Linked DNA regions of Ovis aries. The protein of the gene in region 2 interacts with the protein of the main gene of each other region in a pairwise test. Links are inferred from orthologs where the notes say so. Each region holds a gene or a part of one and is shown on either strand. Other genes may lie near its edges. The genes, in order: CACNG1, VAPA and APOD.

What was found.
Region 1: the proteins of VAPA (region 2) and CACNG1 interact in binary tests that used the Homo sapiens proteins (3 or more experiments, as listed by UniProt). The two-hybrid records come from large-scale screens. The link is inferred for Ovis aries from reciprocal best matches to the Homo sapiens genes VAPA and CACNG1.
Region 3: the proteins of VAPA (region 2) and APOD interact in binary tests that used the Homo sapiens proteins (3 or more experiments, as listed by UniProt). The two-hybrid records come from large-scale screens. The link is inferred for Ovis aries from reciprocal best matches to the Homo sapiens genes VAPA and APOD.

The regions. Positions count from the first base shown.
Region 1 is NC_056064.1:62,288,340-62,292,450, forward strand, and holds the start of CACNG1 (voltage-dependent calcium channel gamma-1 subunit), read left to right. Parts: upstream 1-1,208; 5' UTR 1,209-1,315; coding exon 1,316-1,547; intron 1,548-4,111. UniProt on the Homo sapiens protein: Regulatory subunit of the voltage-gated calcium channel that gives rise to L-type calcium currents in skeletal muscle. Regulates channel inactivation kinetics.
Region 2 is NC_056076.1:42,429,282-42,432,927, forward strand, and holds part of VAPA (vesicle-associated membrane protein-associated protein A), read left to right. Parts: intron 1-1,448; coding exon 1,449-1,552; intron 1,553-1,966; coding exon 1,967-2,047; intron 2,048-3,646. UniProt on the Homo sapiens protein: Endoplasmic reticulum (ER)-anchored protein that mediates the formation of contact sites between the ER and endosomes via interaction with FFAT motif-containing proteins such as STARD3 or WDR44.
Region 3 is NC_056054.1:192,884,192-192,888,345, forward strand, and holds the start of APOD (apolipoprotein D), read left to right. Parts: upstream 1-1,349; 5' UTR 1,350-1,374; coding exon 1,375-1,416; intron 1,417-4,154. UniProt on the Homo sapiens protein: APOD occurs in the macromolecular complex with lecithin-cholesterol acyltransferase. It is probably involved in the transport and binding of bilin. Appears to be able to transport a variety of ligands in a number of different contexts.

The DNA.
Region 1 (4,111 bases), on a different chromosome or scaffold from region 2:
CTCCACGGCTAGACCCTCAGATGGTTCTCCTCACACAGAGAGTCTTTTTGTAAGCTGTGTCAGCCTGAGGCCAGGATTTCAGAAGTCAAACCCCTACCCGGCTCAGGGGTCTTCTCCTGGCTATGCATCAGCCCCTTGACTACACCCCAAAAGAGGCTCCTGGTGGCCTGAGAGAGGAGACACAGACCCGGAAGGGTGTAGGGGCTCCAGCCTGGAGTACCAGCCTGCGGCCAGGGGGTGGGATGGGTGGACATGAGGGAGGAGTCAGGACCCTTGCTTGGTGGTCCCAAACCCCAAGTGTCCTCTGCTGAATCCATACACCCAGTAGCCACTTAACAGTCACCTGTAAATCAGTCTACTTTTGTTCTTCTTCACTGAAGTATAGTTACTTTGTAAAGGACAATATAACCTGAAAATCCTTATTACCTGCCATTAATAGAAAGTAAACCTAAAACTAAAAGCCTGGCGTGCTACAGTCCATGGCGTTGCAAAGAGCTGGACACCACTTGGCGACGAACAACAGTGAAACGGAAGCAGCAGTGGCGCTGCGCTCCGGTCAGGCCGGGGGCTTTGCTCTCCCCACACTATTCGTCCATTTGCGAGCGTCAGGAAGTGTGAGAGACTTGCTAGCCCCCGAAGGAGCTTTCCTTCTGGACCCAGTTGGAGGGAAGGGGAGAGAACTGACAAGGAAACAGTGCAGGAGCAACCTGGGGCGGCTTGGGGTGTGGGGTTCAGGTCTAGAGCGTACTCCCCTGGGCTGTGGGCGCCAGAGGCCCCGGGTGGGCCCCCCAGGCCCCAGGACAGAGCCCCGTTCACCTGCTCCCACGCGAGGACAGAGGCCTGTGTCCTGGGTCTGTGCCCTCCCCCAGCAGCTCACTCCTCCTTCAGCCCCAGCAGGAAGAGGCTGGCACCGTAGCGCCAGGCCTGTGCCCCTCGCCCTCCCAGCTCAGGACCCCTGAGCTGGGCTCTGAGGGTGGCGAGTCTGCAGCTGGCCTGAGCCTTCTCTCCTGCCCCACCCTGGTGTGCTCCTGGCCCCGGGGAGGGAAGCCAGCCCTGAAACCCAAGGAGCAGCCGTCCTGGGTGAGGCACCGGGGTGCTCATTAATAGAAGCTTCCTCAGGCCTCTGACACGCCTGGGCAGCTGCTGAGCCCGTCCAGTGGCCTCACCCACGGCCAGCCCACCCTGGCTCAGCCCGGCACGCTAAACTTAGCTTCCACCCCCGGCTGGAGCCACTGCCCGCAGCCCCAGCCCAGCTGCCCCCGGCCCGAAAGGACTCGGCCGACAGACCCCAGGTGCCCACTGCCCCGGGACCACCATGTCCCCGACCAAAGCCCTGAAGGTCCGAGTGGCCCTCCTCTGCATCCTGGTGGGCATCGTGCTGGCCCTGGTGGCCGTGGTGACAGACCACTGGGCCGTGCTGAGCCCCCACGTGGAGCACCACAACGCCACCTGCGAGGCGGCCCACTTCGGCCTCTGGCGGATCTGCACGAAGCGAATCTTCGTGGGCGACAAGGAGAGGAGCTGCGGCCCCATCACCCTGCCCGGGGGTAAGGCACCCGCCCCGCCCGCTCCTGCGGGAGGACGGGGCTCCGGAGACCCGAGCGCGCCTGGGCGGCGGCGGTGGGCCGGCCGGGCGGCGCTGGCGGGGCGGAGCCGGGCTGCGGAGCGCGGGCAATGCCTCCAGCTAGTCCGTGCGCTGGGGCTCGGGGCTGGGCAGCGGGCAGGGGTCTGGATGGGCGGACAGACCGCGGCTCAGCGAAGAGAACGCGGGTCTGCCGACTCAGCCTGGACGCCCGGCCCCCACCGAACGCAGGCCTCAGGTGGGAGGGCCGCCTGGGCGAGTTCATTCCAGGCTGGAGTGCGGCCACACGCCGCTCAAGGGTAGCCGGGCCCTGTGCAAAAGGGGGTGCAGGGCTCCCCCTCGTGAAGGCGGCAGGAGGGAGCCCAGCGGCGACTCGCCCGGGAGGCGGGACCGCTTTGTGCGAGGACTGTGTGCCCTGCGCCTCCTCCCGACCGGGTCCCCTTCAGACTCAGAAAACGCTTCCTTCGCTGGGATTTAAATGCCTGCCTCAGCCTCCTAGTGCTGCGCGACCGCACGTGAAGGCGCTTTGTGGGGAACGCCTGGTGTGAGGGTGGCCAGCCTCTCCGCAGGCGTGGAGCCTCCACATTCTCAGTGGGCAGAGGCCCGCTGCGGAAGGAGCCCGGGGGCCCGCGTCAGAGTCTGGGCTCCGTGCGGGCCCTGCCCACCACCCCAGAGGGCTGGGCGCTGACAAGCCCGTCGCAGACTCGGCGCCTTCCTTTACCACACGGGCTCAGGCCCAGCAACCCAAAGTCCCCTCCAGCGTTCCTTCCAAAGTTACCCCAAGGTGGCCGGTGACCGGGGTGAGTGCAGGGTCCCACCTGGTTTTCAAATTAGTCTGTTATCAGACTGGGTGTTCCTTGAACCCTGCCCTTCAAGAAAGGCACTGCTAAGTCCCGAAGACCCTGCGGTCTCTGTGGGGGGTGAAGGAGCCCAACCCTCACCCCTCCACCCCTGGCCTTCCTCGCCCTTCCCCCCCCCGCCCCCCGCTGACCCCAGGAGAGCTCAGCCCTGCTCACTCCCACCGGACACCTGGAAGACACAGCAAGCCCCAAGCCTGAGGGCTCTCACAGGCACAGACATGTGCTCGAGGGGTATCATGTGGCCCAGATGCCCACGCCCCGCAGCCACTGCTGAGCACACCCATAAACAGATGCACCATCCCGCCAGCCCTCCTGGGCAGGGCACATTCTCCAGGGACTGTGCATGGGATCGCACTGTTACGGTCCACCTGTCCTTGGCCTTTTAAAGCCTGGTGAATTTACAGAGCAGATGAGCAGGGTGGTGAGGGAAATCTATACAAGGAGAGACGGCTGGTGGGACGTGACCGGACTGGCCACAGGGGATGCGCCGGCTCGGCCTGGCCGCAAGCCTGAGTTGAGTCGACCTCTAGGCCACCTTCTCCTGGTCCAGAGTGAATCGCACCTTCCAAGCCTGTGAGCACTGGATGAGCTGTCCAGGTGCACTCCTGCCTTCTCCCCTCTCCTTTCTCTGCAAGGGGACATCGTTTTCCTTCCGCACCCATCCTGCCTGAGCTCCACTGGATCACTGTTTCCGGGAGGAATAGAATTCATATGCCTTCTCTCATTAGTTACCAACAACATCTACAAGTACAGCGCTGTCTGCCAAACACATATATTACACACGTTAACCTTGGGTGACCTCAGAAAAAAAGACAGAGTAAGAACCTCCAAAACTTATTTTCTCCATAAAAACAATGAGAACATTGGCTAACACGGTCAGAATAAACTTTTTCAGAACTCTAGAAGTTAACCAGTCTTGCAGCAATAAGCAAGTGCTTATTCAAGAAAGAGGAGTGAATCCCAGTAGAACAATGAGGTCTGTGGTGTCTTTTTAAGCTGCTATTCCAGTTCTTTCCTTCCTGACTGCGTCACAGGCTCAAAAAACAACAGCCTGCCATCAGAGTGAAGCCAGCTGCCTGGAAGCCACCAGAAGGGGCAGACTAGGGCTGGACCCCTTTCAAGGCCTCACTCCCAGAGTGGTGTCATTATCTGATCTGTCTGGTGGTTCCCTAGAAGCTCGCCTTTGCAAGGCTGCCTTTATTTGACCTGACTCTGAGCTCATCCCGTGGAAGCAGTCTTTTACCCAGGAGGCATTTGTCAGAAACAATTAGAGACAGTTGTTTAATATCCTAACTGCCTACGGAAGCAGATAACAGAGCAAACAATAGGCTCACCAGAAAACTGCAGAACAAGATAGGTGGCTTTGAAAAGCCCCAACATATTCCTGGGAATTTAGGAGGCCACGAGGGTCCACAGAGCAACAAGTGTGCACAGGGAAGATCTGAGAAGGCCATAAGCTCTCACCTCTGGCTTACGTAGAGCTGTGTGAAGAAAGAGAGAGAAAGAGAGAAGGAGGGAGACAGCACGAGGAAGGGAGAGAGAGACGGAGAAGGAGAGGAGGGGAAGAGGAAGGGAGAAAGAGGCTAAGGCAGCGGCGGAGGCCACTTCGCGGAGTGCTCGGCTGTCTGCTGGCACGGAGCTCCTCAGCAAAGACTGGGAGGGGCATGGC
Region 2 (3,646 bases):
ATTGTCTTTCTCTTGTTATGAGGTCTATCAGCAAGTCAAAGTCACATCTTTGTTTGAAGTTTTCTTTTTATTCAGTTTCTAGTGAATATCCTGGGGTGGTTGTTCAGTGAAAGGTGTTCCTGGAGATACATTGTGCGTTATCTGGATAAACACACATTTATCCTGTGCGTTTCTTTTCTTTCTCCACAATTTTGCTGATTCATGTTTTTATGGGTGCTGGTTCTTTGTTGCTGGGTGGGCATTCTCTAGCTGTGGTGCACAAGCTTCTCATTGCAGTGGCTTCTCTTGCGCAGGTCACAGGCTTTAGGTACTTGGGCTTAGTAGTTGTGTTTCCTGGGCTCCAGAGCACAGGCTCAGTAGTTGTGGCGCAAGGGCTTATTAGTTGCCCTGTGGCCTGTGGAATCTTCCCGGATCAAGGATTGAACCCACGTCTCCTGCATTGGCAGGCAGATTCTTTGCCACTGAACCACCAGGGACTCCCCCTGTCTTGTGCATTTTCTACTGTTGTATATTTGGCTGTTAAATTTTTTTTTACCATGATGGGAGTTAAGGATCTCTCAGACCTACCTTATAAAGAAGAAGTTCTTATATAATTGCTATTTCTTGCATTTGCTTAATTTCATCTGAGTTTTTGAAAATGTTGACATCTGTCTTAGAAATAATCTAAATATTAGCAGGAAAGTTAACTCCACAGTATTGTGTACATATTTTGTGGAATTGCTGATTCATTCTTTATAATCTCTTATTAGATTTATATTACATAATTTAAACCATACAGAGCCTCTAAAAAACCTCTTGTAGGCCATTGAAAACCATAAATGCTTGGTAAAAAATTTTAAATATAATTAGTAGGACAGTGGAAAAAGTTCAGAAATCATGAGGCTGTATGGTCTCCTTCTACACTTTGTTGTCTTAGGCTCATTTAAACACACTGATAAACTCTTGAATAGGTGTTTATTTAAAATCTATTTTAGAAAAAGCTAGTTATATTGAAGCACTAATGAATGGTAGTGAGTTTTAAGTTACCTAGAATTTCTCCTATAAATATTCTAGTTGTCTGATTTTAAGAGCTGTTATCACTAAATACTAATGTGAAAACTAAATTTATAAGTGGTTTTAAATACAAATTTACTAGATTTTGAGTTTATAGGCATTGTAATAGTTAATGTTAGCAAAGTTTTGAAAATTTTCCAAACTTAAGTTTAGAGAGGGCACTTATAGATACTTATTTTTTAAAATAGTCATTTGTTTATTTTGTGGGTTGTTAAAGATGTAGCAACTTAAAAACGTAGACAAGGTAAAAATAATTGAAAATCATAAAATTGATTCTGAATCAACTTCAATAATCCAGTGTTTCTTGCAGCTTTGCTGGTTTTCTTTAAATTTTCAAATTAGAGAGTGAGTGCTGGGAATGGTCAAAAGTCAGTGATATGTCCTTTCTTCTTCAGTAATGCTGCAGCCTTTTGACTATGACCCCAATGAGAAGAGTAAACACAAGTTTATGGTACAGACCATCTTTGCTCCACCAAACATTTCAGACATGGAAGCTGTGGTGAGTAGAAAAATTGAACAGAAATCTTTTGGGGGAATGTTGTTTAAACTTGGGTTTTGTTTAGTTCTTCGTTGAGAAACCTACTTTTTAAAATTAAAAAAATATGTACATCTCTTTACTATGGATAATCCTAACTCATGTCAAGAATGAAGGAATTTTGAAGTCATATTTGTTAGAGACGGATTAGAAGTCCAGTGCTAACAGTGAAGCCCGGTCATCTCTAGGGATGTCAGTGAGGTTTTAATGGTGGTGACAGTAGCTCTTATAAGGTTCTGTAGAAAGTTCTGTGGCACCTGGAAACCCCCCAACCCCTGCCTCCAGGCAGCTACTCTAACCCTTTAGTCCCTCGAGAGGAAACCTAGTTGTCGCAACTGTATTTCCTCTGTCTCATTGTTTGGTTTCCTTTGTTTTTAGTGGAAAGAAGCAAAACCCGATGAATTAATGGATTCTAAATTGAGATGTGTATTTGAAATGCCCAATGAAAACGATAAATTGGTAAGTAGGAAAATTTAAGAAACTTGGAAGCTGCTCAGCTCTTACACTGAGACTTAACTTCTGCTGCTGGTTTCGGCCTTGGTGGGTGTGTGATGTAGGATACAGCTGTTCCAGATTCGGTGCTCAGGCTTTTTCTAAAAACATGGTGTGGACGTGCTCTTTTTGTGTTATAACATTTTATTTGTTCAAGAGGAAAAGTACTTTTAAGGTAACTTTTGATTAAAAGTATGATTAAAAAAGAAATAGTTTAAAAAGCTGCATGATGGAGAAGAACCATCTCTTCCTACCAAAATCTTACCACTTAAACCACTTCAAGTTCTTCGTTAGAATAAGATGTGTGTATACATAAATATAATTAAGTTACAGACATAAACTCCCTTTTAGCAGCTATATACCTGCAGTCTGCGGGTAAGATTTAATTTACATGGACATTTAATTTACATTTATTCCAGATTTGGCTATTCCCAGGTATTTTGTTCACTATTGTTATTTGTCAAAATAACTCTGATTTTATCCCTTAGTAAGTGATTTTCATGTTGCGTTTTGATTAGTGTGAAGCAAATAAAATTTGAGAGAGAGTTTGAAAAATAGCCTTAGAGAATGGGTTGTGGTCACTTTCTCTGTTCCTTTTGTGAAATTCAAATTTAAATGTTTTCTGTGGTTTTAGGAGGACTTCAGGGGTCTTTAGATTTGTGTGCATGTGATTTAACGTAAAGTAATATGAACACATAGCATGGTTTGGCACAATTAGGTTATAATCTGACATGACTGTTGTCTTTGCTCTGGAAGCCGTTTCCCCTGTTGAAAAGTAAACTTGCAAGTTAAATACATGGGCTCCATTATTGTGTTTCTCTTTGAGGATAAGCTGAAATAAAAAAGTGCCTGAGTGGCAATTAGGTGTTGACCAAATCATTTATTGTGTTTTTAATGCCTTTTTAAGGTGGTTTTGAAATATTTGCCAAAGATAGAGAATGTGAACACATGTTCTTACTGGAGAGCGAGGTTCTGATGGTGTAGTAGCACTGATGAAGTTTTGACACTTCCCACATAGAGTTCACTTTCTTTTTTGCTGAGGCTGCCAGGAGGCTAAGAGCTTGTGTAGTTCTTACCGGAACCAAGAAAGCACAGTAGCACATTGTCTGGGTTGACTTGTTTTATTTCTAGTTTTATTGAGCTGTAGTTGACATGCTGTATAAGTTTAAGGTGTCAGCATAAAGATTAGTCTTCCATACATTGTGAAACGATTACTGCAGTAAGTTTAGTTAACACTCATTGTCTCATACAGCTACCAAAAAAACACTGTTTTCCCCTGTGATCAGAACTCTTAGGATCTGCTCTCTTAACAGGTGTTGAGTGTACCGCACAGCAGTGTTAACTGTAGTCACCATGCTGTATGTTACATCCCCAGTTCTTGTTTATCTTGTTTATATGGAAGTGTGTACCTTCTGACCACCTTCATCCAGTCGCTCCTCCCCATACCCGACTCTTCTAGCCACAGACCTGATCTCTGTTTCTGAGAGTTTGGGACTTTGTTGTTGTTTTAAGATTCCGTGTATAAGTGAGCTCATCATACAGTATTTGTCTTTCTCTCACTTCGCT
Region 3 (4,154 bases), on a different chromosome or scaffold from region 2:
CAAATGTGATATATAGACAGACAGATTCAATGGAATATTACTCAGCCATAAAAAAGAATGAAATAACGCCATTTGTAGCAACATGGATGGACCTAGAGATTATCATAGTAAGTAAGAAAGTCAGAAAGAGAATCAAATACCGTATGATATCACTTATACGTGGAATCTAAAGCACGACACCAATGAATTTATCTATGAAACAGAAATGGATTCACAGACATGGAGAACAGACTTATGTTTGCCAAGGAGGAGGAAAGGTGGAAGCAGAGAAGGACTGGGAGTTTGGGATTAGCAGATGCAAACTATTACATATAGGATGAATAAGCAACAAGGTCCTACTGTACAGCGTGGGAAAATATATTCAACATCCTGTAATAAGCCATAATGGAAACGAACATGAAAAAGAATATATATGTGTAACTGAGCCACCTTGCTGTACAGCAGAAATTAATACAACATTGCAAGTCAACTATACTTCAATTAAACAATAAAAGAAAACCCTCTGCATATTCACAAAGGCACAGAATCCAGTTCCTAAGAAAGAATCTTTCCAAAGCTGGTCATTCCGCAGAGAGAGAAGCAGCCCAACCAAAAGTGCCCCTGGGCTTAAAACTGCATTTTCCCCCGCCTCTGCCCCCATTCCCTCTCTCACCCCAAGCAGAACAGACTGCCTAGAATTTGCAGCTGGGAGGGTCATCCAAGGCACAGAGAGAGAAGCTGCAGAAGATGTCTTGGCGTTCTCAGCTTTTAGCCCTACATGCCTAGCTCTGGTGGAGATAGAAATGACAGTCTGTCCTTCACAGTGGGGAGACTGAAGCTCTGAGATGTGGGTGGCTTTCCCAGGATCACATAGAAAGCCAGCTCTCATTCCTAACCTTCGCTCCGTGGCTGTGTCACATTCCAGGCCAGGGACCACATGGGTGGAATTCAGGCTCCATTTTCGGGAAACGGGGTTTGTTGCTTTTTCATTTACACAAAAAATGAAAAATAAATAACAGATGTTTGAACACATGTTGCAACTCTCCTTACTGGAACTTAAAAGTGCATTCTGACTGAGAAAATTAAATTAGAAAATCCACACAGCAAAAAAAGATGTTTTGAATGAAATACACTTTGTCTTTCCCTCTCTCTCACACACACACACGAACAATATCTCCTTGTTTCTTCTTCAGAGAGCAGCTGTGAAAGAAATTGGGGGAGGGAGATGAATATAACATCCCATCTTTGTGTTTCATACAGAGCAAAGCTTTTAGACCAGCCTTCCTGAACTGTAGGGGGCGGGGCATGCCTTAAAATTAAACATCAGTGACCTGAACAGGCTTATAAAATAAGCTTGGGAGAAGTCAGTCACCAAGACAGGGCATCTCAGAGTGGATGATTTTGCGTGCGGAAACTGCTTTCACCTCGATAAAAAAGGTATGTACTGTGGTTTTAATTCTCATTTCAGCTAAAAATAATAACTAAGATGATTGAGGGCCTTTGGCCAGTTGCTTTGCAGACTTGGTTTCATTTTTCCATAAACGACCTTACAAGGGGGATATTTTTAGTGCTGTTTTTCAAATGAGGAAACTGAAGTTCAGATATCCTAAGCAACAGGCCTAAAGTAAGACCACCAACACATGCCAGAGCTGAGGTGTCACCCTGAAAAGACTCACCTCAAAGTCCTCTGTCTGCATCAGGCAACCCCCTTGACACTATTATTAGACAATGAGGAATTATTCCTACACCAATACTGTACTAGATGAATTCTCAGGGGGTTATCCAGTGTGCATTGCAGTAAAACTGACCAAAAAGTGAGTTGGAATGTGCTGTGTGAACTGAAAATTCATTTAGTATTAATAGAATTAATTATGAAAATAATTAAATTAAATAGTATTAATATTAACAGAAAATGCAAAGCTTTTTATCTCCTGAAAAATTTTCTTTAGGCGATATGATTTCTTATTATATTCAATAGCAAAATGGTTTTTAAGACCCATATACTTGTGGAAGTGTATTTTATTTTGTCATGTGAAATCTAAAAGTCTCATCCCTAATATTCTGAAGCTCCTTGAGACCAGATACCAGGTCCACACTATCATGCGGGTGTGTAGACTCTTAGGAAACCTGGTCCAAGTTCTGGCTTCACAGCTTATCAGGAAGTAACCTCACTGAGCACATGGAGAATGTTAGTGCAGGACTCTTCCAGACTAGGTGTAGTAGAGACTCAGGTCCATGTAAAATACTGAAACCAGGGCTTCTCCCTGGAGAAGCTCAAGGAGTGTAAGTAGTAATACACAGAGTCAATTCTGGCCCAGGGTGGATGCACCATAACCTTAGCAGAATTCTTTTCTAATTATTTAATATTCAGTTAAGATAATATTTAAATTATATCTATTTTTTAAAGTATTCGAACTCTCTTCATTAGGACCATCTTCCCATTAGTGTTAGAAGAAGATGCAAAAGTAAGTCATACATATCCAAGTTCATAGATACAGGTTAATAATGTGATATACCCTCAGAACTTGCTCAATAAGCATTGCATGAATTAGAATGCAAGGGGCACTGGGTAAAATTGATGGATATTATCAACTCTTTCTCTCACAAGAAGTTTAATCATAGGACTAAAACTACTGTAATAAAGAGGCATCTTTGGAAGAGATGCAGGCGGGATAATTAGCTATGCTCTGAAATCCTGCAGAGCTAAAGAACACATTTCAGCTCACTACGGAACATTTTGTAACAAGATGTTTGTCAGGAGCTGACTTTGGGTCGAACTGTCATGTGGTGAAATGAGATTCATCAGGTATTAGAGGCAGGTGTTTACTGAAACCACTGAATGTGGTCACAGAAGGCAGCAAAGTTCAGGGCTGTGGCAGGATGGAGAGCTGGAGATGGGGCCTGAGCCCCGGCCTTCTGCCCCTCTGGGCCTTAGCTTCCCCATCGGTACACCTGAGGGGAGGGGTTGGATAAATGACCTCTAAGTTTCTGCCCAGTTTTGGGGCCGTGGAGAATGTGCATAAAGTGTGGCCATCCTTGAGCTTAGAACTCCTGGGCAGGACACTGAGCCTGGAGCCGACTAGGGGCCAAGAGTAGAACTTCAGTGGTTCTAACCACGGCTTAGAAAGGAATGCAAATTTTTGTGGGTTTAGGCTGGATTTTGGCAAATCCATCATCCCCTAAAAGGTTAAAAGACAGATGTTGTTTACCTGGTGTCAGGGGCTGATGGGAAACGGAGCCTCGGAGACTAAGGAAAGTAGCCCCCCTCCCGCCCCACCCCCCTCACCGCAGACGTGCTCAAGGCAGGGACTCGGGACCGTCCCTCCTCCCCTCAACCTCACACCAACTTTTACTCGTTATGTAACTGTTCTTTTGAAAAACACGCAACAAAACCTCCAGAAGAAGAGCTATTGATTATTAAAGGTTATTTGGAGATTTAGAGATTCTTAAGAAAGTGGTTATAATTATCCCAGTTATGACACATTCTTTTAAAAACTCAAATCTGAGAACATCTTGCTTGCCTCAATTCAGGCCTCTTCATCACAGGGAGAAAGGCAAAGAGCTGGAAATAGCTCTCGTGCAGCTCCAGGCGAGGACTCACAAGGAAGAGAACAGACTGAGAGCAAGTCAGTGAAAGAAGCTGGGAGCAGCCCAGGCTTCGACCCTTCCAGCAGCGCTGCAGCCCCCACCCCTGCCCACTGTGCACCCCCTCAATAGCAGCTTCCGCACCCAAGGGCTCTGGGCTCACATCAGCTACTGGCCCCTCTGCTTAAATGTATAGCATGTATGAAAATTAGCCTCAACAGAATATTAAGGAAGAAAGGAAGGGAAGGAGGAAGGAAAGAAGGAAGGAAGAGAAATTCAGGAAATACAACAATTTGCTTCTGCATTTCATAATAGCATTTATTGAGCATTTGTGTCAGATACTGCTCTAAATGCTGTCTATATTTTCTCATTTAGTTCCCTTGGAAGTTCACAAGGTTGGTATGATTATTATTCCCACTTAATGCCAAGGAAATTAAAGCATCCATTGGACACAGTTGTACTTAGTGTGTGAAGAGCCAGAATGCAAACCCAGTCAAGGTGATCCTGGAGTCCCCAAGGTTCCCAGGCCTACTCCTGGACTGATAGACAGCCAGCAAGTGGAGGGTAGCGTGGGGAGGTGGAGCCAGGGG